5 linked regions of the Xenopus tropicalis genome follow. The protein of the gene in region 5 interacts with the protein of the main gene of each other region in a pairwise test. Links are inferred from orthologs where the notes say so. Each region holds a gene or a part of one and is shown on either strand. Other genes may lie near its edges.

Region 1 (5,908 bases), on a different chromosome or scaffold from region 5:
CGTAAGTTTTGCGACTTTTTCGGAGCATTCGTACCGTTATCGTAAGTTTTGCGACTTTTTCGGAGCATTCGTACCGTTATCGTAAGTTTTGCGACTTTTTCGGAGCATTCGTACCGTTATCGTAAGTTTTGCGACTTTTTCGGAGCATTCGTACCGTTATCGTAAGTTTTGCGATTTTTTCGGTGCCGGCGAACCCAAATTGCGAATTTGCGGACTTGCGAACACCCGATGTTCGCGCGAATTAGTTCGCCGGCGAACAGTTCGCTACATCTCTACCTATCTACTGTACAGCGCTGCGTACATAAGTAGCGCTTTATAAATAAAGATATACATACATACATTCTTAGCAACATTTAAATTGGTCTTCATTTTGTATTTTTTTTATAGTTTTTGAATTATTTGCTTTTCTTTTTACTCTTTCCAGTTTTCACTGGCCCCAGCAGCCTAAAATCTCTGGCTTGGTGAGGCTAAAATACCATCATGGGAAAACACGTTTTTTTCAAAATTAATCAGTTAATAGAGCTTCCCCAGCAGAATCCTGCACTGAAATCCGTTTTTAAAAAATACAAATAGATTTTTTAGATTTAATTTTGAAATTTCAGATGGGGCTAGCCATATTCTTCATTTCCCAGGGTGCAATAACCATGTGACCTTTGTGCTGATAAACTTCAGTCACACTTTACTGCTGCGCTGCAAGTTGGAGTGATATCACCCCCCTCCCAGCAGCAAATCAGCACAATGGGAAGGCAGCAAGATAGCAGCTCCTAGTAGATATCAGAATAGCACTCAATAGTAAAAAATCCAAGTCCGGCTTGGGACTCCTCCAGTTACATGGGAGTAGGAGACGCAATAGGTTATCTGAAAGCAGTTCTAATGTGTAGTGCTGTCTCCTTCTGAAAGCTCAGACTCAGGCACAAAGCACTGAGATGGCTGCCTATATACCGATATTATAACTAAAAATATACATATATTTATTAGTTCAGGAATAAAATTTTAATGTAAACAGTGTAATTTAGAAATAAAAAGTACACCATAAAATCATGACAGAATCCCTTACTGTGGAAAATATTTAACTATTAAGATTTTCTCTGACTTCCCCAGTTTGATATTTAATAAATAAGTTCCTTACCAATGTCCTTAGTGATTCTGTCTCTGCTTGCAAGCTCTGGATTTTACAGGTGGTGTCATGAAACTCTTCCTTTAGATTTTCTGCCAATTCCTCCACCTCATCTTGTGCAGCTGGCAGTGCGACTGACTATGGTTGGGGAAAATACAGCACAATAATTGTAAAAATAACTGTGCTAGTTTGCACTTACATACTGTACGTGAATTCCTGAGAATTTCTCATTTTGATCACTTTTTTCTAGTACAATCAATGTGAACTCACAGCTGCAGCTACTCTTGATTGCTTGAGCCAATGAATGTCTGGGTATATGATTCTAGCAATTTGAGATGGCTGTACCTCATATGGGCATGGGGTGATGAGATGTACAGCAAAACTTGAATTGTTTTTTGTTTTTTTTTATAAATAGCCATACTGCACCAATAGTATCCATTTTGCACTTCTTTGCAGAGATTGGCTGAAAGCTTCAGCTGGCTGAGGGGGAATTATGGCTGTATGAGTGGATGCAAGTCTCAGGAGATAAACAGTCTTTGTTTATTGCAGGAGCTAACAACATGACTGAAGATTTGGCCAGAGGCTATAGTATTTTGCTGTACTAGAGGCCATTTACAGTTATGTTATCTTTTACTTTATTACTTTCTCCCTTTGCAGGTTCTAGGTAAAACAACAAAATTTGTACAGTGTATGGTCCAAGAGGCCTGGATTTACTTTTAAAAAACACAAGTTTTGCTGGTTACTCATTTAAAGAGAGACAACAGAGGAGGAAGCCAGACCTAAGGCGAAAGCTTAGATTGTGGACAAGCAGCACAGGTAAACAATAGAAATTGGCGAGAGAAAGGGAATGTTTTGGTGTGCACTGAGATATGAGGAGGACATTAGGCTGTGCACTTGTAAATTGGCTAAGGAGGAGCACCACATAGGCATAATGGATGTCTGTCTGTCTTTGTCAAGTTTCAAGGTTAAAAAAGGCCTTTTTAATTTAAAATTAACGGATTGCTTTTCAAATTAGAAACATCTATATCCAATTTACTTATTAACACAGAATAAAGAAGGAATAGTGAAGTTACAGCACAGCACACAGTGAATGCAATCAATCGGAAAAGGGTGTGCTCTGATGATTGGATCCATCTCTATATGCCAAAGTAACGTTCAAGTTAGATGTAGAATTTTTCAAAGACAGGCAAATGCGGTAAAATCCTTCCTGCAGTTCTCCTTACATTATATTTAGCCTGAAATATGGAAATCTAAATATTAAACATTTTGTTATGCTATGTACATGCCTGCTATTTATTCACTGGTGAAATGCTAGAACTCTATAAAACTATGGTAAATACATTATGCAGCATATACATGCTGTATGCCAAATAACATACTTTTGTTTGCAGAAGGACACCTGTCTCAGCTCTGTTTTTCTCAATGTCTTTCTCCCAGTGGATCCTTATGGTTTCCAGGATGTCATCAAGTCCAGTACCAATTGGCACATCCATTTCTTCTAGCTGAAATCCAGCCAACTGTTTATACAGCATCTTTACGTCCTGTAAAACACACAGTCTATGGCCCAAACTACTCCTAAATAAGAAGGAAAGCTACTGATGCAGTTTCTTCCCAACAAATTAGCCACAATAGTGCAAGCTAGAACCCTATATTTATTCTGTAGAATGCTTTACCATAACTGGTTAAACAGCCATAGAAGCTGCCATTTTAGCTTGGTCTTATTTTACTTCCTGTCTACATCTCTGTACTCTGTGCTCACATTACAGCAGAGATGGGAGAAGGGGGAGTGAGTGAGGAGCAAGCTGAGCATGCTCATGCTGAGCCCTGGAGGTTTGAGCTAAAAGAAGGAAGAACCGAAGAACACGTGTACTGAATAGAAGGAAAGAAATGCTGTGTATCTTGTGACAGAGGACTCAGAGTAGCATTAAGGTCCCCATACACGTGAGATTGAGATCGCCAAGCAAGCGGATCTTCACCCGATATCCCCACCTACGGGATGGGCGATATCGGGGAACATGTAGGCTAATGCGATCGTTTGGCCTTTGGGCCAAATGATCGAATTATATTGGTGGCAATGGAGCAGTCCACCCAACTAGACTTTTAAACCTGCCCGATCAAGATCTGGCACTATTATTGCATGCAGCAATGTTATAGACATACATGCTAGATCAGTAATAGAAAACTTATAGCCTTCCAGATGAAATACAATAATGGACATTTTAATAAATATTGGAAAGGGTCTATTAGACCTTGCATAGGCTATAACTTTTCTCTAAATGTATGCATCACTTTAAAGGAGAAGAAAAGTCATTTTGGCATTTTACTGCCAATAGATTCACCACATTACTGCCACCTAAAATGCTATATTTATTCTGCAGAAAGCATTACCATACCTGAGTAAAGAGCCCTAGAAGCTTTCTCTGTTTGCTTAATATTGCAGCTGCCATTTTAGCTTGGTCTTCAAAGCTTCCTGCTGTATAACTCTAGCTGTTATAGCTGAATACAACCCTAAGCATCCCACTGACAACTGAGCAGTTAAAGAAGAGCTAGTGTTTCGACATGACAAACAGGAAGCTTATTCTATACCCATAATCTTTGAGGTAAATGCAGGGGGGTGGTATGGGAGGGCAGCATTAGGTCTGCTGCTTTAGACAGCAGAAGACCCTGAAAAACCCCTGATTTACCTTAAAGGGAAACGAAAGTCAAAGTCACTTGGGGGTGCCAAAATGTTAGGCACCCCCAAGTGACTTTAACCGCTTACCTCGTACCCCGGGCTGGTGCCCCTGTTAGGAGAAAACAGCACCAGCCCGGGGCACCTGGAGCGCAGCGCTTCCGTCTTCCTGGCTTCCTTTTCCTGAGTGCCAGCGGTGGGCGCATGCGCAGTAGAGTGAAAAGCCGACTTTAACATTTAAGTTCGGCTTTTCACTCTACTGCGCATGCGCGCGCAGCGAATCAGGAAAAGGAAGCGCCGGCAGCTACCCCGGGCTGGTGCTGTTCCTTCCTCACAGGGGCACCAGCCCGGGGTAAAAGGTAGGCGGTCAAAGTCACTTGGGGGTGCCTAACATTTTGGCACCCCCAAGTGACTTTGACTTTATTTTTCCTTTAAGTCAAATATTATTATTCTGCTACATGCTGTGTGCTTTAGCATTTCATGAAAGAAAATACAGAATCAAATTAACAACTCGATTGTTAACATTGGTTTTCCAACTAAATAAAGAGCTCTTTCAGTTGATTTTCACCAGTCTGGGCCAATTCATTTTCTATAGGCAGGCAACAGAATTGGGGCCAGTTATTATTTCTGCTCAAGATAAAGCATTGATATTAGAAATGAATTAATTGTTGAATATGGAACCTGCCAAAGAAGCCATACCCTCTTGTTTTAATTAGCTGGAAAGGCTCATTTATAAAAATGATACAGGTGCTTAAATAATGACTGTAATGAGTAGATCACGGTCTTTTCTGTTACCTCCTTATGATTCTTTGACAAAGAAGCCAGATCTTCCTTCATGCTTTCTATCTGACTTTCAAGATCCTTTTTGGTCAAGTTTGCATCATCTATCACTTTGTACAAAGACCGGATCTCCTCCTGAATTGCCTTTCGAAATGGCTGCTCGTTCTCATACCTAACATTTAAATAACAGTTATGGGGGAATGTAATACAACAACAGGATACAGATGTACAAAATTAATAATAAAGACATTACTTTTTCAGTGCAATACTGTTAATTGGACGTAATTGTTGAATCAGGTCCGATTGGGCTGGGTTGCCTTGAAAAAGAGATTGTGGCAGTAAGGTGTTATTGAAATTCCCTGGAGTGTCAGTGTTGCTGCATTACCACTATCACTTTATGAATTAAAAGGCATATGTTACGCCATTTTTAAACACAAATTTTTATATATTTTTTAATGATTCTGGCACCCCAGGAGCCAAAACGTAGTTTGAGTATAAGGCTTCGTTTTTTTTCTTTTGTACTCTGTAATTTGAAGGAAAACGGGTGCATAAAGGTAAAATTGTAAATTGCTTCTCAGAGCAGTGGCATAACTGTAAGGGAAGCAGACCCCACAGTCACTGGGGGGGCACAGGGGACAAAAATAGTACAGGTATGGGATCCCTTATCTTGAAACCCGTTATCCAGAAAGTTCTGAATTACGGAAAGGCCATCTCCCATAGACTCCATTATAACAAAATAATTCTAATTTTTAAAAATGATTTCCTTTTTCTCTGTAATTATAAAACAGTACCTTGTACTTGATCCTAACTAAGATATAATTAATCCTTATTGGAGGTAAAACAAGCCTTTTGGGTTTATTCAATATTGAAATGATTTTTAGAAGACTTAAGTTATGGAGATCCAAATTACGGAACGATACCTTATCCGGAAAACCCCAGGTCCCGAGCATTCTGGATAACAGGCCCCATACCTGTACAAAAAAATCCACCCCCAGCCGCTCTCTTACCTGCAGATGGGGAGCAGAGGACACTGATATAAGGGTAGCGGGGGACACAATGGGACAGAGGGGCTAACAGTGGGTGGGTGGAGTGCTGAGTCAGAGTGACTGTGCACCGGGCCCCTCCAAAATTTCTTTTTGCTGGGGGGCCGGGTGCCGACTTGTTACACCACTGTCTCAAAGGCCTCTTTGAAGACGTTTTCTCTCCATTAGGGATAGTTTTCTTAAATTAACAAGGAAATGTGGTCATAATCATATTTCATCATTCCTAGAAGAGAGTTCTGTGATGATCATAGTAAGTTATTGGCATCCAAGAGATTTATTGATAAAGACCTTGAAGCC
Region 2 (5,908 bases), on a different chromosome or scaffold from region 5:
TTGTGTTTATTTAAAAAAAAAAACCAAAAACATTAAAAAATCTTTGCTTACGAAAAGCATCACATCACCATTGAGTAGGATCTCTTACAGCAACTTCCTCCCACTGTCAAAGTCACTGTGGGAAGAAACCTTATTATGTAGACTGACTTTTCCTTCTCTCCAAATGTGTTGTTTCTTTGTGTTTCTTTCCCCATAAGCACCCTGGCAGATAAGAAGTTTTGTCGCCTGCAGTAAATCTTTGCAACTGCGGACAACAAATCTCCCAAAAATGCCTTCTCATTGCCTAACATTTGGACCTGGCAATGTACACAATGTTGTAGGCAAAATTGAGTAATGGCTAAAAGGTAACTAGAGGTTAAGATGGAAACAATAACAACAAAGGATTTCCGAGAATAAAAGAAATTAGTACTTGTGTATGAGGATTTAAAATACTGGAATAGGGGTTGAATTCAGGAGTGTTGACATTATATATCAGCAGAAAATGAATGAAAAGTGATATATCTGTGCTGATATACTGTAGGTATATAGAATTTCTTGTGTAATGGAATGCTGAGGCCAATGTTATCTGTTTTGTATTTGTGGTACTAGTGGTGGGTGTGGTGTTATATGAAGCCAGTAAAGGATTAGAAGGTGGGTGGAAATTAGGATTACAGAGGTTGTTTAGTGAGTAGAACTTCTTTGGTAGCAGTACAGGCATGAATCTCAATTGGAGCAAGTGAGGGCCTGTCCATGACCTTCTCAACTGTTTTTGGCTGATCTGGAGGCATCTTTAAAGGCATGTAAAGCCTACATTTGCCTACAAGGTATATCAGTTGGGCATGTCACCCCCACCATAATGGCATTATTTGTACTGCATATATCCCCCTCCATCACCATCACATTTTCCTAAAGCAAATAGCAGCTTTCACACGGTGGCCATTTTTCCTCTGATGCATAATCAGATACATTTATATCTGCAAACAGCATACACACACATACCCTTATTCAGCATTCAGCTGAGCTCAGGAGAGGAGGTTAGGAGAAAAAAAGAGAAGCAGACAGCTAGAGCTGAGTTTATATGGAAACCAGCAATGCCATCTCTTCACTGGCTGCTAGTCTGAAGGATGTGTTTAGTAATCTGAGTTTAGAACAACTGAGCATGCCCACAAGCCAATAGCCAAAGCAAATTCCTGATGGGAGGGGGCCCAAGTGGGTTTCAGGAGGAGAAGGAAATCTAAGTGATTAAGGGTATGTTGCAGCCTTCCTATTAACCTCTGGACAACCAGAGTGGCAGGTATTGAAAGATTTCAGAGGCTGTTCACTGATTACATTTTTGTGTGTGGGTTTTACATGCCCTTTAAAGGCAGCAAGTTGAAATAGTGTGCCAAAGTTGGATTAGCTGTGGGCCAGAGTAAGTGTAAGGGTACAGTTGAAGGGGAAAGCATGTGATAAACTGCAAATTTGAGAATGCTCAGGTTGTATGATAATTGCCTTATAAATAGGCACTAGGACACATGGTTAAGTGAGCAAAGGCAAGTGGACTAACACCAGGGGGTGTAAACAAAATAAAAAAAATCCAAACAAAACAGGGACATGAACATCCAGTTAGGATACCTTAATCTTCCCTAATAATAAAAGAGAATCTCTAAAACTATGTCAAAGCATATATATTTTTCCATAAGCAGGTTGTTCACAGGTGTGCATATTTACAAAAGGAACTTGAGCTACAGCCTGAGTTATTCCAAGGTTCCCATAGCAGGCTGCGTCAATAGGTGCAACAAATGTAGAGACACTTGCAAAAGACACAGTAATGCCATTTGAATAATGCAATCCCCACAATGAAATTTTGCACTTGCTTCAATTTTGTTGTATCAGATACTACTGTGGTTAAAGGAACAGTAACACTAAAAAATAAAAGAGCTTTAAAGTAATAAAAATATAATGTACTGTTGCCCTGCACTGGTAAAACTGGTGTGTTTGCTACAGTAACACTACTATAATTTATATAATAAGCTGCTGTGTAGCCACGGGGGCAGCCATTCAAGCTGGAAAAAAGGAGAAAGGCACAGGTTACATAGCAGATAACAGATAAGCTCTGTAGAATACAATAGTGTTTTATCTGTTATCTGCTATGTGCCTGTGCCTTTTCTCCTTTGAATGGCTGCCCCCATGGCTATATAGCACCTTATTTATATAAAATTATAGTAGACTTTCTGAAGTAAACACACAACTTTTACCAGTGCAGGGCAGCAGCACATTATATTTTAGTTACTTTTATACACTTTCATTTTTTGGTGTTACTGTTCCTTTAAGACAAGCCACAATGACATTGAAGTTGTGGGTAAAAAAATGGCAAATTGCAGCTAAAAATTGCACACTGCACTCACAGTCGTAAATGGGACTTTATATGTCAAATATGGTGACAAAATTGTCCACAGTGTACCGCAACTGAATTTTAATCCCACTTTACCTTCTGTAGATCAACTTTAAAACCATACCTAAAAAATGATTTTGAATGATGTTCATTATAAAAGTCCATTGCTTCAGTTCTGTAAAAAAGAATAAAGAGATGTTACAGCTGCATTTCTTTTCCTCTTTACCCCTGGCAAATTTTGTCTTATATTTTACATTAGGGGATACACTATACAGATGAATGAGTAAGATTTGGCACCCATGGCCAAATAACACATCTAAGCTAGTTTAAGTGAAATCAGCAAAGTAAAGAAAAGAAACTGTGTGTATGTAAGTACGTACGTACGTACGTACGTACGTACGTACGTACGTACGTACGTTATCCACGCCGTTATCTTTGAATCTTGGACAATTAAAGGGAGTGCGGACAGTGTGAGGTATTTTTATTTATATATATGTATAAACACACACACACAATTTATTCACTTTGTCCAGCCTTACCCTCTGTATTGTGTACTTTAACTTATGACAGTTTCTTTCAGCCCATTTCCAGTTCTAGGCAGCTAATATAATGGGGGTGGATTTGCAGAATTGATATGAACCACACTGAGAAATAACCGCAAGCTAATATAATTTACTAGAGCTTAATGACACCATTAAAGTAAAGCACATCAAAGAGAGGTATAAATGCTGATTAAGGTGGAAAAACAAACACTGGTATTTAACATTGTGGCTGATCTGATTTAAGAAAGTGGATAAAAAAATACTAATTTAACTTTATGAGACAAACAATAGGGCAATAGCTGTCATTCACTACCAGCTGAGGCTAATTTAATATGTACTGGTTTCTAACTAAAACTTTCCATGCCGCCTCTTGTCATGGGACACATCTACAGTGGTGCTGTCAAAGGGAGGCAGTGTTCTCAGATTCAGGTATTTCTCCATTGGTGGACATAGGCTGGCAGATACAACTGTCCTACCTACCTTTCTGATTTGAAAACATGGACATTTTAGAAAAAGACTTCCATAATTTACCCAAATCTGGTCCCCTCTGGGTGCTTCATTCTTCAGGTTAACTTTTAGTATGCTATAGAATGAACTGTTCTTAGCAACGTTTAAATCGGCCTTTGTTTTTTGGTTTTTTTTTATAGTTTTTAAATTATTTGCCTTCCTCTTCTGACTCAAGAAAGATGCTGAACAACAGGCTAAATAATTAAAAACCCACAAATAAAAAATGAAGACCAATTGTAAACTGTTTTGGAATAGCACTCTCTAGATCCTATTAAAAGTTAATTCAAGGCTGATGGCCCACAGAGTTAGTCGCCCGCAATAGATCTCTGCTACTGTGGCGACTACCTGCTCCGAAATGCCTTTCCACCAGCGACAACAGGAGTCTCCGCTGGAGAGGCCTACGCATTGCTTTGGCTTCCAAAGTTGCACAAAGTTTCCTCCTGCAGGCAACTTCACGCGACTCTGGAAAGCCGAAGCAATGCACTGGCCTTTCCACCGGCGACTTGTTCCGTGAACAACCCCTTTAACTAATTATTAACTTATTACCCATAATTTATAAAGTTCCAACATATTCATTTCAAAATATGCAAAGAAATTACAGCACAACTGCATCAATTTTATCATAATATTTACCTTAAGAGCAAAACCATTTTAGCCTTTGAGATTACAAACCCTGAGTCCAGTATGGCTTCAATAATTGAACCCATTTTTGTTACAGCATCTGGTTTTATCAAAGCTAATGTTCTGCAATAAAGAAAATATAAATATATTTTAGAATGCATTTGCTTTAGGTAAAACAATGTATTAGCATTTTCTATTTCTGCAAGCTTTTGAGAATTTATTACTGTAATCAGCTGCAATTTTAGCCACTGTCTCTCAGGCTGGCTCCTGAAAAGCTTTCCCTCCCTCTTTTATTGTCTGGGTTAATATCCAGTTACAAAAAGCAAGAAAAAGGTGTCAGGCACTCTCTATAGCAGGGACAACTCTCTGGATTTTCTAATAGCTCATATTAAAAGATACCATAAATTTGTGCCAACATAGGCATTTCTTTTGTGGCAGGCACAATTCTGCAGGCTGTTTAGAGTGGACTATAAAATATAAGAGTAACTAAATTAAAGACAATGTAGATCTTAGTGCTACACATTTCCTGATGAAAAGTATTTAAAAAAAACATGCATATAATTTAGTTTTCTGTTATGCAGCACTTTACAATCATTTATAACAAACCAGGGTCTTACAATAATTTAACAAACAAGGGTTACAGAATAAAAGAAGGATAAGAAGGTCAAAGCACAAAGTACATACCCTTTTAATGGCCTTTAATGGAAAGATTCGCCCACCCCTGTCATTACAGTGTATATAGCACAAAAGGTGAGTGCACTGGCCAACAGGATGTCTTACCACAAGCTACAAGCCAAAAAGTAGTCCCAGTGTTCATATGCTTAATCCAAGCATGTTACTATATATTAGAACCACAATCATGTGGTAGGAGCCCATTTGCTTTAAGCAAAGATTATCTAACAACATAGCTTATATATTGTGTTGAGACTGTGATTGTAAAAAAAAGTCTGCATAGTAGATTCACAGCAAATTATAAAGCCAAGATCCACTTACTTTTCCTTCTTGCTTCCAACCTTTCGAGAAGTATATTGATCTGCGTAGTCAATTAAATGAAGGTGCCGTGAAAAAACATTAATTTTGTTGCCCACAAATAAATCATCCTTACAAATTTCATCATATTTTGTTCGTCTTAAAAACACTCGATGGTTTTTAATGTCATACTGTAAAAAAGAAATAAAAATTGGGCATAGCCAAAATATTTAACACAGGAGATCACATAGATTAAATCCATCAGTTTTCAAGTTTAAACGTTTCAAGTTCTTTAATTTATAATAATCTGATGTTTTAAATGTGTCTTTTTAAAACAAGAAGCACTCACTAATAAATATATAATATATAGGTAATTATGTACAAGCTATCAACTATAGACAGCAGGAAAAAATTATTGTATTCTAAGAAAAAGTTATTGGTATAAAGATGTACATCATACTGCAAACAAATAAAATTCTTAGAAAGTATTTTACAGCAAAAATTATAAATAACATGTTAATAGCTAATGTTATGATACATGGAAAAAAAAGATTTAATCTCTGGTGTCAGTATCTCTTTAAGGGGAGATATCAAAAAATTGTTTCCGGCACAGGGAAACAATTTTTATTTAAAAAATTGCCCTCCCTCGGACCAGCTTTCGTTCCTTATGCGTAGGGGACTTTGAAGTAGGTAATCTTCTTTATTTTTTCAGTTCCTGGCTTAAAGTAATTAAAGATAAAAATATATACCAAATATACCATATTTACCTGCAGGTTAATCTGTCTTATAAAACTGAATTCAGAATTCTCCACAGGAAAACAGAGAAACACCTTAACTAAAAGTTATAAATTGATGACCTTATTTTGTGGTTTCCTAAGGATCATTTTTAGATATTTTGCTACCTGGGCAACCAAAA
Region 3 (4,737 bases), about 140 Mb from region 5:
TACCTGCTATCCCACAGCCCCAGTCCCTTCCCAGAGGCTATTATCCCACTGCTACTATAGGCACCATCTCTCCCTACTATACCTGCTATCCCACAGCCCCAGTCCCTTCCCAGAGGCTATTATCCCCCCACTGCTACTATAGACACCATCTCTCCCTACTATACCTGCTATCCCACAGCCCCAGTCCCTTCCCAGAGGCTATTATCCCCCCCACTGCTACTATAGGCACCATCTCTCCCTACTATACCTGCTATCCCACAGCCCCAGTCCCTTCCCAGAGGCTATTATCCCCCACTGCTACTATAGGCACCATCTCTCCCTACTATACCTGCTATCCCACAGCCCCAGTCCCTTCCCAGAGGCTATTATCCCCCCACTGCTACTATAGGCACCATCTCTCCCTACTATACCTGCTATCCCACAGCCCCAGTCCCTTCCCAGAGGCTATTATCCCACTGCTACTATAGGCACCATCTCTCCCTACTATACCTGCTATCCCACAGCCCCAGTCCCTTCCCAGAGGCTATTATCCCACTGCTACTATAGGCACCATCTCTCCCTACTATACCTGCTATCCCACAGCCCCAGTCCCTTCCCAGAGGGCTATTATCCCACTGCTACTATAGGCACCATCTCTCCCTACTATACCTGCTATCCCACAGCCCCAGTCCCTTCCCAGAGGCTATTATCCCCCCACTGCTACTATAGGCACCATCTCTCCCTACTATACCTGCTATCCCACAGCCCAGTCCCTTCCCAGAGGCTATTATACCCCCCACTGCTACTATAGGCACCATCTCTCCCTACTATACCTGCTATCCCACAGCCCCAGTCCCTTCCCAGAGGCTATTATCCCCCCCACTGCTACTATAGGCACCATCTCTCCCTACTATACCTGCTATCCCACAGCCCCAGTCCCTTCCCAGAGGCTATTATCCCACTGCTACTATAGGCACCATCTCTCCCTACTATACCTGCTATCCCACAGCCCCAGTCCCTTCCCATAGGCTATTATCCCACTGCTACTATAGGCACCATCTCTCCCTACTATACCTGCTATCCCACAGCCCCAGTCCCTTCCCAGAGGCTATTATCCCCCCACTGCTACTATAGGCACCATCTCTCCCTACTATACCTGCTATCCCACAGCCCCAGTCCCTTCCCATAGGCTATTATCCCCCCACTGTTACTATAGGCACCATCTCTCCCTACTATACCTGCTATCCCACAGCCCCAGTCCCTTCCAGAGGCTATTATCCCACTGCTACTATAGGCACCATCTCTCCCTACTATACCTGCTATCCCACAGCCCCAGTCCCTTCCCATAGGCTATTATCCCCCCACTGCTACTATAGGCACCATCTCTCCCTACTATACCTGCTATCCCACAGCCCCAGTCCCTTCCCAGAGGCTATTATCCCCCCACTGCTACTATAGGCACCATCTCTCCCTACTATACCTGCTATCCCACAGCCCCAGTCCCTTCCCAGAGGCTATTATCCCCCACTGCTACTATAGGCACCATCTCTCCCTACTATACCTGCTATCCCACAGCCCCAATCCCTTCCCAGAGGCTATTACCCCCCCACTGCTACTATAGGCACCATCTCTCCCTACTATACCTGCTATCCCACAGCCCCAGTCCCTTCCCCGAGGCTATTATCCCCCACTGCTACTATAGGCACCATCTCTCCCTACTATACCTGCTATCCCACAGCCCCAGTCCCTTCCCAGAGGCTATTATCCCCCCACTGCTACTATAGGCACCATCTCTCCCTACTATACCTGCTATCCCTCAGCCCCAGTCCCTTCCCAGAGGCTATTATCCCCCCACTGCTACTATAGGCACCATCTCTCCCTACTATACCTGCTATCCCACAGCCCCAGTCCCTTCCCAGAGGCTATTATCCCACTGCTACTATAGGCACCATCTCTCCCTACTATACCTGCTATCCCACAGCCCCAGTCCCTTCCCAGAGGCTATTATCCCCCCACTGCTACTATAGGCACCATCTCTCCCTACTATACCTGCTATCCCACAGCCCCAGTCCCTTCCCAGAGGCTATTATCCCACTGTTACTATAGGCACCATCTCTCCCTACTATACCTGCTATCCCACAGCCCCAGTCCCTTCCCAGAGGCTATTATCCCACTGCTACTATAGGCACCATCTCTCCCTACTATACCTGCTATCCCACAGCCCCAGTCCCTTCCCAGAGGCTATTATCCCCCCACTGCTACTATAGGCACCATCTCTCCCTACTATACCTGCTATCCCACAGCCCCAGTCCCTTCCCAGAGGCTATTATCCCCCCACTGCTACTATAGGCACCATCTCTCCCTACTATACCTGCTATCCCACAGCCCAGTCCCTTCCCAGAGGCTCAGTACTTACATGATGATGATGATGATGGTGGTGGTGGTGATGTCCCACATCGTCATCATCTTCATCATCTCCATCTTCATCATTGATGACGACAGTGCGCACCAGTTTCCTCATAGCGACCTCCTATAGAGACACAGAGTCAGTTTTGGTTCTGGGCAAATCCTTCCGTATGTGACTGATGTGCAACTGAACCCCCCCCCGACTTCTCCAGTGGGCGGAGCCAGTTTGGGAGTTTGACACCCACCTCATTGTTAGACGTGAGCAGCGCGGTGCGAATACTGTCGCCTGTTCCCCAGGAGCTCTGGGCCTTCCATACTAAATCAGTGGGGGGGTTATTTGTGGCTCCGGCGCCTGATGCCCAGATCTGAAAGAGAAATGTAACTTGTTATCTCCTTACTGTCAGTCTTGTGCCTTTATATGGGCACAGAACCCCTCAGTGACTGCTAATATCCTTATCATTTACAGTAGGGGGTACATTATCCCTTATAATACATGAGTGATACTCAGAGTTCCCTGTATAACTCAGCCTGCAGCCTTGTGCCTTTATATGGGCACAGAACCCCTCAGTGACTGCTAATATCCTTATCATTTACAGTAGGGGGTACATTATCCCTTATAATACATGAGTGATACTCAGAGTTCCCTGTATAACTCAGCCTGCAGCCCTTTGCCTTTATATGGGGGGCACAGAACCCCTCAGTGACTGCTAATATCCTTATCATTTACAGTAGGGGGTACATTATCCCTTATAATACATGAGTGATACTCAGAGTTCCCTGTATAACTCAGCCTGCAGCCCTTTGCCTTTATATGGGGGGCACAGAACCCCTCAGTGACTGCTAATATCCTTATCATTTACAGTAGGGGGTACATTATCCCTTATAATACATGAGTGATACTCAGAGTTCCCTGTATAACTCAGCCTGCAGCCTTGTGCCTTTATATGGGGGGCACAGAACCCCTCAGTGACTGCTAATATCCTTATCATTTACAGTAGGGGGTACATTATCCCTTATAATACATGAGTGATACTCAGAGTTCCCTGTATAACTCAGCCTGCAGCCTTGTGCCTTTATATGGGGGCACAGAACCCCTCAGTGACTGCTAATATCCTTATCATTTACAGTAGGGGGTACATTATCCCTTATAATACATGAGTGATACTCAGAGTTCCCTGTATAACTCAGCCTGCAGCCTTGTGCCTTTATATGGGGGGCACAGAACCCCTCAGTGACTGCTAATATCCTTATCATTTACAGTAGGGGGTACATTATCCCTTATAATACATGAGTGATACTCAGAGTTCCCTGTATAACTCAGCCTGCAGCCTTGTGCCTTTATATGGGGGGCACAGAACCCCTCAGTGACTGCTAATATCCTTATCATTTACAGTAGGGGGTACATTATCCCTTATAATACATGAGTGATACTCAGAGTTCCCTGTATAACTCAGCCTGCAGCCTTGTGCCTTTATATGGGGGGCACAGAACCCCTCAGTGACTGCTAATATCCTTATCATTTACAGTAGGGGGTACATTATCCCTTATAATACATGAGTGATACTCAGAGTTCCCTGTATAACTCAGCCTGCAGCCTTGTGCCTTTATATGGGGGGCACAGAACCCCTCAGTGACTGCTAATATCCTTATCATTTACAGTAGGGGGTACATTATCCCTTATAATACATGAGTGATACTCAGAGTTCCCTGTATAACTCAGCCTGCAGCCTTGTGCCTTTATATGGGGGGCACAGAACCCCTCAGTGACTGCTAATATCCTTATCATTTACAGTAGGGGGTACATTATCCCTTATAATACATGAGTGATACTCAGAGTTCCCTGTGTAAGGAAATGAATGCATCTGTCTCCCAGCAGAGGGCGCTCTAGTACCACATAAGGCAGACAGACCATAAGGAGCAGCTCGGGGCTCCCTGATTATTTATTTATAAGGAACAGAACACAGTGCGGAGCTTCTGGCTATTGGGAGGGAGGGGGATAATTACAGAACCGACCCAGTTTCCTCCTGATACAGACTGACCCCCCCCCCCCCCCAGTACAGGGGCCCATCTTTATGGATCAGGTTCAGTAAGATTAAAGCTTACAGGGTAATTACAGTGCCCAGTTGCCCCACATTCATATTTATAGGACCAGTAACACCATAATGAGTATAAATATATATAATGTTTCCATTTATATCTGCCCCTGTCCGACAGTACCTGCACTGATTATTCCTTCAAGCAAATGGCCATAGGAAAGAGAGCAGCCCAGGAGCAAGAAGTACAGAGAATCAGAGCTCTGTACCTGGGTAAGTACTGGGGGGGGATTGGATTCACTTACCCAGGGGGAGGTTC
Region 4 (6,529 bases), on a different chromosome or scaffold from region 5:
CTAAATATGTTGCTGTAGAAATAAATGAAAATGCAAATCAACCAATGACATCAGGATCATATAAGCCATAACCTAATAAGTAATCTATCCTGTAATAAAGAAATAGACACCACAGGAAATATGAATATTATACATCCAGATTTTTGGCACACTGCTGGCCCCATGAGTTCAGTGACAAAGAGACACATTTAGTTGTCACACCAGGAGTTAACATTCAAATGTTCAAAGCATAACTTTTTTTTACCTTTGTATATAATTATACTATAATTTTGGACAATCAGTCCTTAAAAAATAAGTCTAGCAACCCAGTAACAGTTTCAATAATACCATAATCAATATTGCTATATATAATATATATAATATTGCTTTTAGGGTGTAATGCTATAACAAGCAGAGGTTACAAAGTAGAGATTATCTTTAAGCACAGAGATCAAAATGATCGTATCTTGTGAGCAATATAAAATAAAACAAATGCTGTTTTTACAAATATTTAGTATCCACACTTTTACATTTTATAGTGTCACCTTTTGCAGCAATATTAGCTTTTAGTCTTCTGACATATAAATCAATATTACACATTATTTTGGAGCAAACTGGACCCTTTTTTAAGGCTAGCTTGAATCATTAAAGGGGAACTCCACCAAAACACAACTTGAGTTTTTTGAGAAGAAAATATCATTTCAAGCAATTCTGCAATATGTAATTTAAAAAATATGCAGCATTTTCATAATTGTGTATGTATTACTATGGTTTGGAACAGTTACTAAGCCTAGCACCCTGTTCCCCTGCTGATCTGGCTGACTACTTTGTAACAGTAGTCGACTGTCCTCAGCCTGCCTTCAACCTCCAAATCCCACAATCCCTGCACACATGATATCAATAAGGAAAGAAACATCACAGTGCAATGCATTGTGGGTTATGTAGTTCCTGGTTGCTGTCTGTAACCTGTAGAAAAGTTGTTATAGCATTCATAACATTAATGTTTAGTCCCACCCCCTGCCAGCATTTTAAATGATGCATTAAGAGAACTGTTTTGGAGTTGGATTTCAGCATATAAAAATTGTATTTATTCATACATTTTCAAGAAACCGATTACAGTGATAGGTATATTAGGGGTTTCTGTGCTGTGTGAGGTGGTGTGTGGTTTGGAAGCCAGAGTTTCCCTTTAATGTTTGGATCCTTGTGTTTCTAAAAGATCCTTGTCTTGCTAATAAAGAAACATTTGCCCATGCCTCAGTTATCTTTTTGTCGCGGGCGACTAATCTCCCCGTCTACCACGGCCATAAAGAAAAGCAGACCCCACACCAATATGTTACTACCACCATATTTTACTGTTAGTAAACTATATCAAGAGCTCCTTATAACACTTCAGTTTTCCAAAAAGCATGAAAGTAAGCCACCTGTGACATAACAAATGTGAATTTATAGAATAGGCAGATAGAACAGTCACATTATGGTACTTTGCTTTGCTAGTTAGTCATATGGACCCTAAAGGGACAACTATGGCTTTTGTTTTTGTTTTCTCTATTTTACTTTATATTAGTTATTTTTCTCTGTATACTTTTTGCCTGACCCATGGATATGGGCCAATACTATTGGTGCCAGTTTTAAAAGTAGCACAAGTGAAACAGCAGTTTTTTTCTCTGGTAATCCTTAAACAATAAAACCTCAAACTTACAATATTCGGTGCGTGTATGGTATGTCGGCGAGTCGACCGATATCGCAAGAAGCTGCTGATAACGGCCAACTCGCTGATCGGACCAGTTTGAACATTTTGATCGGGCGCCATAGAAGGCGCCTGACCAAAATCTCCCTTCAGCGCTGAATCGGCAGGAGGTAGAAATCCTATTGTTTCTACCTCCTTACCTGCCGATTCAGCCCTGAATGGTGTGTGGCGGATCTGACGATGTTTCGTGCGACCGATGGTCGCCACGTGTATGGCCAGCTTAAGGTGGCAACCCTATCTAGTGCAAAAAGTGCTACTGTGCTCTCTGTGATAGCGATGCACTAGCCCCTTCTGATGCAAAAAAAAAAAAAATGGTCTCAGGGTGGCATTATAGGTAAAACACCTCTGCCCAGGTCCCTTCTATAATATACTTTTATAAAAGTAAAAAAATTGAGCAGCCACTGAATACAAGGTTTGTAATAATAATTAAAAAAAAACCAACAACCCTGCAGCCAGCAGGAGAGGGCTGAGGCGACACATTATGCTCCCTGTACAAAAGAGTTTGCGGCACCCATAACCAGTTCATTTGTTACTGCACTTCCCTTCCTGCTCAAAAGCTGCAATCTGCTGCCTACTAATACAAACGAATTAAGAAACTCATCTGGCATTGAGTGGGTTAAGTCTAAAAAGCAAGTGCTTTGAGTGGCGTTAGTCACATGAATACGTCGGAAACAGAAGCAGTTCTGTAGTCACTGAATCATTATTAAGCCAGCAGCAACTTTAGCCATGGAGGTTTTATAAGCAAGAGAGGTTCTGTGTGCCGCTCTGGCTTCAGTCTTCTCTATGGTACGGAAGGAATCACATGACAGACCATGTCACAACACAAGGTAGTGCAGTGAGCAAGGGGAGCTGGGCTGATGGATGAAGACGGGCTGCCTATAGTGGGCTCTGGGATTGACCTCACTAAGGTGCGTCTTTTAGGGGGAAGTGAAGGGGAATGGGCAGATTTAATGTGTATTGTAATGTGTGTTCATGTGCATTTTTCTAGTCAGTCAGCTCTACACTAACCTGTAGTCATTAAGGGAAGGCAAGTTACACTTTTACTGTGTATTCATTCATTTTATTTACTGTGCAGTCATGATATTGGTACTGTAATGTTCTTAGCATATCCATATGGCTCCTGTCTTAACTGACCTGCTGTCCCATATACTTGATTATTTACTGTTACTGCACTTGTCTGTAGCTGATGTTTCATAGTGCTTTGTGGTGTTACACTTGCTGTAAAGATGTCCAGTTGTTCAAATTGTGGCTAGGCTTTTCCTTAATGGCACATACATCATGTGTTTCAAAAAAAGCCATTTCCACGAAAGCATTGGTCAGCTCCATTCAGACTCAGACACAATCGGGCTTGTTTATGGCTGCAGTTGTGATGGTGCTAATCAAGGATGCAATCATTAAGAGATTCATTAAAGGTATTTGTGCACTTGCTTATATTTGAACTAAGTAACCTTGTGCCTGTCTGTGCATCTAATGATGCAGGGGAACCCTAGTGCTACCTCTAGCTTGCAGGTGGCCGTAATTCCAGGGTTCCCATTGTGAGCTGCATCAACAGGCACAGCAAACTTACACCCAAAAAATCACATGCAGGTGTCTTTTTAACACAGAGTGGTGGAAATAATGCAGTAGCCTCTACAACTATTTTAATCACATTTGCGTACTTCAGAAGCAGTAGCCCTCTCATTAAGGGTGAAGTCACACTGAGCTACTAGTAGCAGCTACTTTTTCACAGCTACTAAACTCCAGAAAATACCTTGCCATAGACAATAACGGTGAAGGCACACAGAGCTACTTAGTAGCAGCTACTTGTCAAGGCTACTAAATGCCAGAAAATACCCAGCCTTAGACAATACCGAGAATTGCCCCTGCTAAAACATACGTAGAGACAGTAGCCACGACAAGTAGCTGCTACTAATAGCTCTGTGTGTCTTCATCTTAACACTGAAGTACATTGCCTCTTCCGTTTATAAAACATCTCCGCTGGCTTAAGGTCTTAAAAATGTGTTTTTCAAAGGGCTTTATTATGTCATACTGCTGCTTAATAATCCCAGGGATACAGCATCCCTGTTAACAGCGAAGCCCTTCTACCCACTATTATTTTTTGATTAATCCTGTAGACATAACTGTCCTTTGCTGTTGTGCAGAGGACTCTGGTTAGAAGTGTATACACACAGCTAGTATACACGGCCGTCAGCCATGGGCTGCAGAGTGAGATATCCTAATTAACTGGGCTTCTGTATCTTCAGGATTGTGGAATAATTCTATGGCATTTGTTTGAACTCACACTTTTAAGTTTAGTTACCCTATGGAGAATTGGATAAAATCTCTTTTCATTGCAAACTATTAAATCCTTCCCTCAATATCCACTCTTTTTAAAGGTGTGTCTCAATGATGTGCACTAACTAACCCCGATTGTTCAGCTGTGTAAAGGTGGCCATACATGGTAAAATTCACTTGTATGATGGCGTCGCTTAACAAGTGAATCTTTCCCCGGATATGCTCACCTTGAGCGGGTGATATTGTGCTAATGTGATTGTTTGGCCCTAGGGCCAAAAGATTACATTAAAATGAACGGGATATGAGAAGTTGGAGCAAGTACCGCATTAATGATCGGGGAGTCCTGTCCCAATACACAGGCAGATAAGCTCGGTCTAAAGGATCCGAATTAGCAGCTTAAATATGTTGTGTATGGCCATCTTTACATCTTGTCATCCTCGAGCAAGGAGCCCTGCAAAGATGCAGGCAGCTGTAACTTCAGAACTGCAAAAGTGCCTCTGCTGGTCATTATGTGCCAGGCCCCATAGAGTTATTCTGATTAGAGTTTTGGAAATATTGCCTTGGTCAAAAAGCCTTTCAGTTTGTCATTAGTAGGCTAGTTCTATTAAACATTTCACCACTCATCGGAGGAGCTTCTAATTCAAGTTGCTTTAGATTTAACACAACTAGGTATTGTTTTCCATGGCCTGGATGAATGAACCCTTTATATACCTGTTCAAACTAATATCCGTTGCTTGCACTGTGTTCTATACCTTTTGCAAATGCAGTATACTGACCTTTTTTCTTTTATTTAATAAACCCTAGGTCCCACCTATTCAGCAGAAAAGAACAGTGGCATTTTTGAACCAGTTTGTTGTGCACTCTGTTCAGTTCCTTAACCGGTTTGCTACAGTTTGTGAAGAGGTACTGTATTCCTAGCGTGTTCTAGCTTTCCCTCTTTTCTACAGCATTGACTGGAAACCAAGTGCTACTTAGTCTATTGCAGCTTGCACTGTTCAGATGAGAGAATGTTATGGTAAATGTTATCGTTTGAAATCTCAGTACATGTACATTTTGGGGCTTTCAGGTAATTTAATGGCTGCACGGGCTTGGTGGGAGCTTACATTACATTGCCCATATGAACAGGGTCTTCTCTATATGCTGCATAGGCCAGTGATCCTATTTAATTTGCATCTTTGATTATTTACCCCTCACAGAGCTACAGAATATGTCCATTATTTAGACCTTTAATGTTGGTACTTTGTTTTTATTGTTTTAGAAACTTTCTGCCTTGTCCCTACGTATTCAGCAGATTGAAACAACCCTTAATATTTTGGAAGCAAAGGTATGTACTTGTGTGGTATGTTTCAGCATAGTGTATTTCTCATATTATTTTACCGTTCAGCAAATAAAATCTGTATTAAAGGAAATGTAACACAACCTTTTTAAATTCAATATATCCTTTCTAAATACTTTTATTCGCAAATATACAATAGAAAGATTGCAATAGCATATTTTTTTTTTTTTTTAAATTACTTTGCCATAGATTTACTGAGCTCAGGCAGCGCATTTCTCCCAAGCGCATTTCTCCCAAGCGCATTTCTCCCAAGCGCATTTCTCCCAAGCGCATTTCTCCCAAGCGCATTTCTCCCAAGCGCATTTCTCCCAAGCGCAGCGCATCTCTCCCATGCAGCACTCGTAACAGACACAACGAAAGAGGAGAAAAGGTCCGTCTCCTATCCATCTCTGTGCCAGATCACTAGTAGCCTATTAATCACTTTAAAAAAGGACTCTGAAGAATGCACTAAATGAACTTCTGGATTAGACTGGAAGTCTACCCAACGCCATATTGCCTTTTAAGCTTGGAAGTGAAAATTTTGTGTTACTGTTCCTTTTAAGAGGTTTCAAGTTGAAATTTCAAGAAGAGTAAGTTACTTCTGAAATGTAAGCCTTTAAAGTGCTCGATGGCCTTGGTGCCTGTAGTGAATCTCCGAAAGCCTAACTACAGCTGGAACCTTGGTATACTGCATGCTGATAATATTTCAATATATCAAGCATGACCAGTGAGATCTCACAGAGAAATGGTCTTGACTCTTATTTGAAAGCTGAAAAGAAGCATCAACATGTTCAGAAACCATATATGTTTGTCAGGTTACATGGAGGGCTGTACTGAGTGGGTAAAACTCAGCTGTCGAAACAGGGGTCACATACACAGAAATATTAGTATGTAAGGGGATACACAATTCTTTACTTTTCATCGTTAACTAAATCTATATCTGGCTTTATAACTGCAGTTATAAAGAACCTACTTATTTTTTGGGCATTTTGCCTGATGTGTTTCTACTTGTCAAAATGCCCAAACCTACCTAAGAAGAGGATCCATTAATACCATGTTTGCTAGCTCTTGCCAGGTCTCTTCTATGAAAGTAACACTTTTTCTCTAAAGCTCTAACATCAAGAAATGTGTTTGAAGTTGTTACTTAAAGGCATGTACCTAAAAGTTTTTCCTTGGGGTCATGGGGCAATTAGTTGCTGAAATTTCTAAAAATC
Region 5 (6,367 bases):
TTTGGGGTACAGTTGGGTCCCTGGGATATTACAGACAGGGGTTTGGGGTACAGTTGGGTTTCCTGGATATGCTGACAGGGGGATGGGGTACCTGAGGTACTGACAGGGATTTGGGGTACAGTTGGGTCCTGGGATATTGCTGACAGGGGGATGGGGTACCTGAGGTACTGACAGGGATTTGGGGTACCAGTTGGGTCACTGGGATATTGCTGACAGGGGGATGGGGTACCTGAGGTTACTGACAGGGATTTGGGGTACAGTTGGGTCACTGGGATATTGCTGACAGGGATTGGGGTACAGTTGGGTACCTGAGGTACTGACAGGGATTTGGGGTACAGTTGGGTCCCTGGGATATTGCTGACAGGGATTTGGGGTACAGTTGGGTCCCTGGGATATTGCAGACAGGGATTTGGGGTACAGTTGGGTCCCTGGGATATTGCAGACAGGGATTTGGGGTACAGTTGGGTCCCTGGGATATTGCTGACAGGGGTTTGGGGTACAGTTGGGTCCCTGGGATATTGCAGACAGGGATTTGGGGTACAGTTGGGTCCCTGGGATATTGCTGACAGGGATTTGGGGTACAGTTGGGTCCCTGGGATATTGCTGACAGGGGTTTGGGGTACAGTTGGGTCCCTGGGATATTGCTGACAGGGATTTGGGGTACAGTTGGGTCCCTGGGATATTGCAGACAGGGATTTGGGGTACAGTTGGGTCCCTGGGATATTGTGACAGGGGGGACAGTGGGTCCCTGGACAGGGATTTGGGGTACAGTTGGGTCACTGGGATATTGCTGACAGGGGGATGGGGTACTGACAGGGATTTGGGGTACCAGTTGGGTCACTGGGATATTGCTGACAGGGGGATGGGGTACTGACAGGGATTTGGGGTACCAGTTGGGTCACTGGGATATTACAGACAGGGATTTGGGGTACAGTTGGGTCCCTGGGATATTGCAGACAGGGATTTGGGGTACAGTTGGGTCCCTGGGATATTGCAGACAGGGGATTTGGGGTACAGTTGGGTCCCTGGATATGCTGACAGGGGTGGGGTACAGTTGGGTCCCTGGGATATTGCTGACAGGGATTTGGGGTACAGTTGGGTCCCTGGGATTTTGCTGACAGGGATTTGGGGTACAGTTGGGTCCCTGGGATATTGCTGACAGGGATTTGGGGTACCAGTTGGGTCCCTGGGATATTGCTGACAGGGATTTGGGGTACCAGTTGGGTCCCTGGGATATTGCTGACAGGGGGATGGGGTACAGTTGGGTCACTGGGATATTGCTGACAGGGGGATGGGGTACCTGAGGTACTGACAGGGATTTGGGGTACCAGTTGGGTCCTGGGATATTGCTGACAGGGGGATGGGTACCTGAGGTACTGACAGGGATTTGGGGGTACGCAGTTGGGTCACTGGGATATTGCTGACAGGGGGATGGGGTACCTGAGGTACTGACAGGGATTTGGGGTACAGTTGGGTCACTGGGATATTGCTGACAGGGGGATGGGGTACCTGAGGTACTGACAGGGATTTGGGGTACAGTTGGGTCACTGGGATATTGCTGACAGGGGATGGGGTACCTGAGGTCCTGACAGGGATTTGGGGTACAGTTGGGTCACTGGGATATTGCTGACAGGGGGATGGGGTACCTGAGGTACTGACAGGGATTTGGGGTACAGTTGGGTCACTGGGATATTGCTGACAGGGGGACGGGGGTACTGAGGTACTGACAGGGATTTGGGGTACAGTTGGGTCACTGGGATATTGCTTGACAGGGGGACGGTGGGTACCTGAGGTACTGACAGGGATTTGGGTACAGTTGGGTCACTGGGATATTGCTGACAGGGGGACGGGGTACCTGAGGTACTGACAGGGATTTGGGGTACCAGTTGGGTCCCTGGGATATTGCTGACAGGGATTTGGGGTACCAGTTGGGTCACTGGGATATTGCTGACAGGGGGATGGGGTACAGACAGAGATTTGGGGTACCAGTTGGGTCCCTGGGATATTGCTGACAGGGATTTGGGGTACAGTTGGGTCCCTGGGATATTGCTGACAGGGGTTTGGGGTACAGTTGGGTCCCTGGGATATTGCTGACAGGGGTTTGGGGTACAGTTGGGTCCCTGGGATATTGCTGACAGGGGTTTGGGGTACAGTTGGGTCCCTGGGATATTGCTGACAGGGGTTTGGGGTACAGTTGGGTCCCTGGATATTGCTGACAGGATTTGGGGTACAGTTGGGTCCCTGGGATATTGCTGACAGGGGTTTGGGGTACAGTTGGGTCCCTGGGATATTGCTGACAGGGGTTTGGGGTACAGTTGGTCCCTGGGATATTGCTGACAGGGGTTTGGGGTTACAGTTGGGTCCCTGGGATATTGCTGACAGGGTTTTGGGGTACAGTTGGGTCCCTGGGATATTGCTGACGGGATTTGGGGTACAGTTGGGTCCCTGGGATATTGCAGACAGGGATTTGGGGTACAGTTGGGTCCCTGGGATATTGCTGACAGGGATTTGGGGTACAGTTGGGTCCCTGGGATATTGCTGACAGGGATTTGGGGTACAGTTGGGTCCCTGGGATATTGCTGACAGGATTTGGGTACAGTTGGGTCCCTGGGATATTGCTGACAGGGGTTTGGGGTACAGTTGGGCCTGGGATATTGCTGACAGGGGTTTGGGTACAGTTGGGTCCCTGGGATATTGCTGACAGGGATTGGGTACAGTTGGGTCCCTGGGATATTGCTGACAGGGATTTGGGGTACAGTTGGGTCCCTGGGATATTGCAGACAGGGATTTGGGTACAGTTGGGTCCTGGGATATTACAGACAGGGATTTGGGGTACAGTTGGGTCCCTGGGATATTGCTGACAGGGGTTTGGGGTACAGTTGGGTCCCTGATATTGCTGACAGGGATTTGGGGTACAGTTGGGTCCCTGGGATATTTGCAGACAGGGATTTGGGGTACATGGGTCCCTGGGATATTGCTGACAGGGGTTTGGGCAGTTGGGTCCCTGGATATTGCTGACAGGGATTTGGGGTACAGTTGGGTCCCTGGGATATTGGACAGGGTTTGGTTACAGTTGGGTCCCTGGGATATTACAGACAGGGATTGGGTACAGTTGGGTCCCTGGGATATTGCTGACAGGGATTTGGGGTACAGTTGGGTCACTGGGATATTGCTGACAGGGGTTTGGGGTTCAGTTGGGTCCCTGGGATATTACAGACAGGGGGGTACAGTTGGGTCCCTGGGATATTACAGACAGGGGGTACAGTTGGTCCCTGGGATATTACAGACAGGGGGTACAGTTGGGTCCCTGGGATATTACAGACAGGGGTCAGTTGGGTCCCGGGATATTAAGACAGGGGGTACAGTTGGGTCCCTGGGATATTACAGACAGGGGGTACAGTTGGGTCCCTGGGATATTACAGACAGGGGGTACAGTTGGGTCCCTGGGATATTACAGACAGGGGGTACAGTTGGGTCCCTGGGATATTACAGACAGGGGGTACAGTTGGGTCCCTGGGATATTACAGACAGGGGGTACAGTACCCCATGTAAGTCACCTGATTCTGAATCCCAGGAGGCGGCTGCAGCCAGTGAGTGACAGGGAGGGGGGGACACGGGCGGATTTGCCTCAGTCCCAGCGGGGGGAGCTGCCTCCATGTTGTTGGTTGGTGCTTCAGACAGACCAGAGGCACTAACTGTGCTTTTCCCGCTCTTTTTGTGCCTGGAGGCGTGCCTTATTTCGATTGGCTACTGACCCCAGACTGGGAAGGAAAGTTCTCCAATAGAATTGTGCTGTCCCTGTGTGCCCCACCCACAGCAGTACAAACCTACAGGTAACAAAATGGAGTCCAGGTCCCCCCCAGCAGGGAAAGAGTCTGTGAGGCCTGACACTTGCACAGTGCTCTCACCCCACACGTACCCTTCATATGTGGGGGGCACCATTACTGCCCCGAGGGGCCACCATTACTGCCCCGAGGGGCTCATTCTCTGGTACCAGCACCAATTGGGCTTCTCTGAGTTATCTGATATATAGGCTGGTGGGCCCTCTATCTGGGTTCATTCTCAGCCTGAGACTCACTCACCTGCTGGGCCCCCAGCTACTACTACTTCCCCAGGGAGAGGGGCCCCCCCAGCCTTTCTCACTCACCTGCTGGCCCCCCGGCTACTCCTACTTCCCCAGGGAGAGGGGCCCCCCCAGCCTTTCTCACTCTGTGTCACTCACACACCTGCTGGCCCCCCGGCTACTCCTACTTCCCCAGGGAGAGGGGCACCCAGCCTTTCTCACTCTGTGTCACTCACACACCTGCTGGGCCCCCGGCTACTCCTACTTCCCCAGGGAGAGGGGCCCCCCAGCCTTTCTCACTCTGTGTCACTCACACACATCCTGGGCCCCCGGCTACTCCTACTTCCCCAGGGAGAGGGGCCCCCCCAGCCTTTCTCACTCTGTGTCACTCACACACCTGCTGGGCCCCCGGCTACTCCTACTTCCCCAGGGAGAGGGCCCCCCAGGCCTTTTCACTCTGTGTCACTCACACACCTGCTGGGAGGCCCCCGGCTACTCCTACTTCCCCAGGGAGAGGGGCCCCCCAGCTTTTCTCACTCTGTGTCACTCACACACCTGCTGGGCCCCCGGCTACTCCTACTTCCCGGGAGAGGGGCCCCCCAGCCTTTCTCACTCTGTGTCACTCACACACCTGCTGGCCCCCGGCTACTCCTACTTCCAGAGAGGGGGGCCCCCCGCCTTTCTCACTCTGTGTCACTCACACACATCCTGGGCCCCCGGCTACTCCTACTTCCCCAGGGAGAGGGGCCCCCCAGCCTTTCTCACTCTGTGACACTCACACACATCCTGGGCCCCCGGCTACTCCTACTTCCCCAGGGAGAGGGGCCCCCAGCCTTTCTCACTCTGTGTCACTCACACACATCCTGGGCCGGCTACTCCTACTTCCCCAGGGAGAGGGGCCCCCAGCCTTTCTCACTCTGTGACACTCACACAATCCCTGGGCCCCCGGCTACTCCTACTTCCCCAGGGAGAGGGGCCCCCCAGCCTTTCTCACTCTGTGTCACTCACACACCTGCTGGGCCCCCCAGCCTTTCTCACTCTGTGTCACTCACACACATCCTGGGCCCCCGGCTACTCCTACTTCCCCAGGGAGAGGGGCCCCCAGCCTTTCTCACTCGTGTCACTCACAACTGCTGGGCCCCCCAGCCTTTCTCACTCTGTGTCACTCACACACATCCTGGCCAGCCGGCTACTCCTACTTCCCCAGGGAGAGGGGCCCCCCAGCCTCTCACTCTGTGTCACTCACACACATCCTGGGCCCCCGGCTACTCCTACTTCCCCAGGGAGAGGGGCCCCCCAGCCTCTCACTCTGTGTCACTCACACACCTGCTGGGCCCCCCAGCCTTTCTCACTACATGTCTCTGCGTTGCCTCACTAACCTGGCGTGCATGGGAGATACCCCCTCCCTGTGCAATTTAGTAATTACCCACAACCTCTTTGTAACACAGTTATTAGTTCTCACAAAGACGTTTGTGTGTGGGATGTAGGTTCCCCCAGAGAACAGATCTGATCTATATATTCTATATTCTTACCATAACAGACTGAATAAGGCTGAGTAGCAGCTATGGATTACTGCACTGCTGCAAAGCTACAATAAGGAAATGCCTATCTGCTCTTGTACACACCCCGACAGCCAAGCTTCAACGGCCATTAGGCTGAGATTTGGGGTAATCTCCTATTTGCACCCCTAGATGTTCTCAGCAGGGAGTCCAACAAAGCAATGCTTCTCTACATGTGGAAGCATTGTATGAGGGGCCCTGACCCAAGGTTGGACCTCCCAGGGGGGCTATAACTGCCATTCTGAGTACATGTAGGTAAATAAGGACAAGTATTTGTGCCCCTGTGTGACTGGCAGCACAAGGGTGGGGGGCAGTGGAGGGGTCACATGGTACAGCTGCCTGTGTTATTGGTGCTTAGATCCTGGGGGACAAACCATACCCGGCACCACTATATACTGAGAGATTGCGCCTTTATTACTATCCAATCTACTGTGCCATAAAGCAGTACCCGCTAGCCCTGAGTCTGTGCCAGTCGCTGCGGGCAGGGGGCTGACAGGCAGCCAGGGAAGGCACTTGGTTCCGCCAGTCAGGGCAGAATATCAGCCCCACAATCACTAGTCCCACGGAGTCCATTTGCTGTACCCACGCCGGGCCTTGAGATCTCAGCACCAGAGTCTGGAACCCAGCTCGGAACCGAGCCCACCGCCACCGTTTGGGTCCCCTGGGAAGTCGCTGGGACAGGGCCCATATCCCACAGGTAGATCAAACCTACTGCCCCAGGAGGGGCAATGCACTGAAACCTGCT

Evidence for each region.
Region 1: the proteins of syce1 (region 5) and bfsp2 interact in binary tests that used the Homo sapiens proteins (3 or more experiments, as listed by UniProt). The two-hybrid records come from large-scale screens. The link is inferred for Xenopus tropicalis from reciprocal best matches to the Homo sapiens genes SYCE1 and BFSP2.
Region 2: the proteins of syce1 (region 5) and nme7 interact in binary tests that used the Homo sapiens proteins (3 or more experiments, as listed by UniProt). The two-hybrid records come from large-scale screens. The link is inferred for Xenopus tropicalis from reciprocal best matches to the Homo sapiens genes SYCE1 and NME7.
Region 3: the proteins of syce1 (region 5) and lmna interact in binary tests that used the Homo sapiens proteins (3 or more experiments, as listed by UniProt). The link is inferred for Xenopus tropicalis from reciprocal best matches to the Homo sapiens genes SYCE1 and LMNA.
Region 4: the proteins of syce1 (region 5) and washc3 interact in binary tests that used the Homo sapiens proteins (3 or more experiments, as listed by UniProt). The two-hybrid records come from large-scale screens. The link is inferred for Xenopus tropicalis from reciprocal best matches to the Homo sapiens genes SYCE1 and WASHC3.

The regions. Positions count from the first base shown.
Region 1 is NC_030682.2:52,661,324-52,667,231, forward strand, and holds part of bfsp2 (phakinin), read right to left. Parts: intron 4,741-5,908; coding exon 4,584-4,740; intron 2,659-4,583; coding exon 2,497-2,658; intron 1,256-2,496; coding exon 1,130-1,255; intron 1-1,129.
Region 2 is NC_030678.2:55,292,162-55,298,069, forward strand, and holds part of nme7 (nucleoside diphosphate kinase 7), read right to left. Parts: intron 5,184-5,908; coding exon 5,017-5,183; intron 4,147-5,016; coding exon 4,036-4,146; intron 2,529-4,035; coding exon 2,478-2,528; intron 1-2,477. UniProt on the Homo sapiens protein: Possesses an intrinsic kinase activity. Displays 3'-5' exonuclease activity with a preference for single-stranded DNA. Does not seem to have nucleoside diphosphate kinase activity.
Region 3 is NC_030684.2:142,914,966-142,919,702, forward strand, and holds part of lmna (lamin), read right to left. Parts: intron 2,751-4,737; coding exon 2,631-2,750; intron 2,510-2,630; coding exon 2,396-2,509; intron 1-2,395.
Region 4 is NC_030679.2:49,097,928-49,104,456, reverse strand, and holds the start of washc3 (WASH complex subunit CCDC53), read left to right. Parts: upstream 1-2,516; 5' UTR 2,517-2,583; coding exon 2,584-2,634; intron 2,635-4,804; coding exon 4,805-4,903; intron 4,904-5,258; coding exon 5,259-5,324; intron 5,325-6,529. UniProt on the Homo sapiens protein: Acts as a component of the WASH core complex that functions as a nucleation-promoting factor (NPF) at the surface of endosomes, where it recruits and activates the Arp2/3 complex to induce actin polymerization, playing a key role in the fission of tubules that serve as transport intermediates during endosome sorting.
Region 5 is NC_030684.2:647,363-653,729, reverse strand, and holds the start of syce1 (synaptonemal complex central element protein 1), read right to left. Parts: upstream 4,504-6,367; 5' UTR 4,304-4,503; intron 4,148-4,303; 5' UTR 3,658-4,147; coding exon 3,558-3,657; intron 1-3,557. UniProt on the Homo sapiens protein: Major component of the transverse central element of synaptonemal complexes (SCS), formed between homologous chromosomes during meiotic prophase. Requires SYCP1 in order to be incorporated into the central element.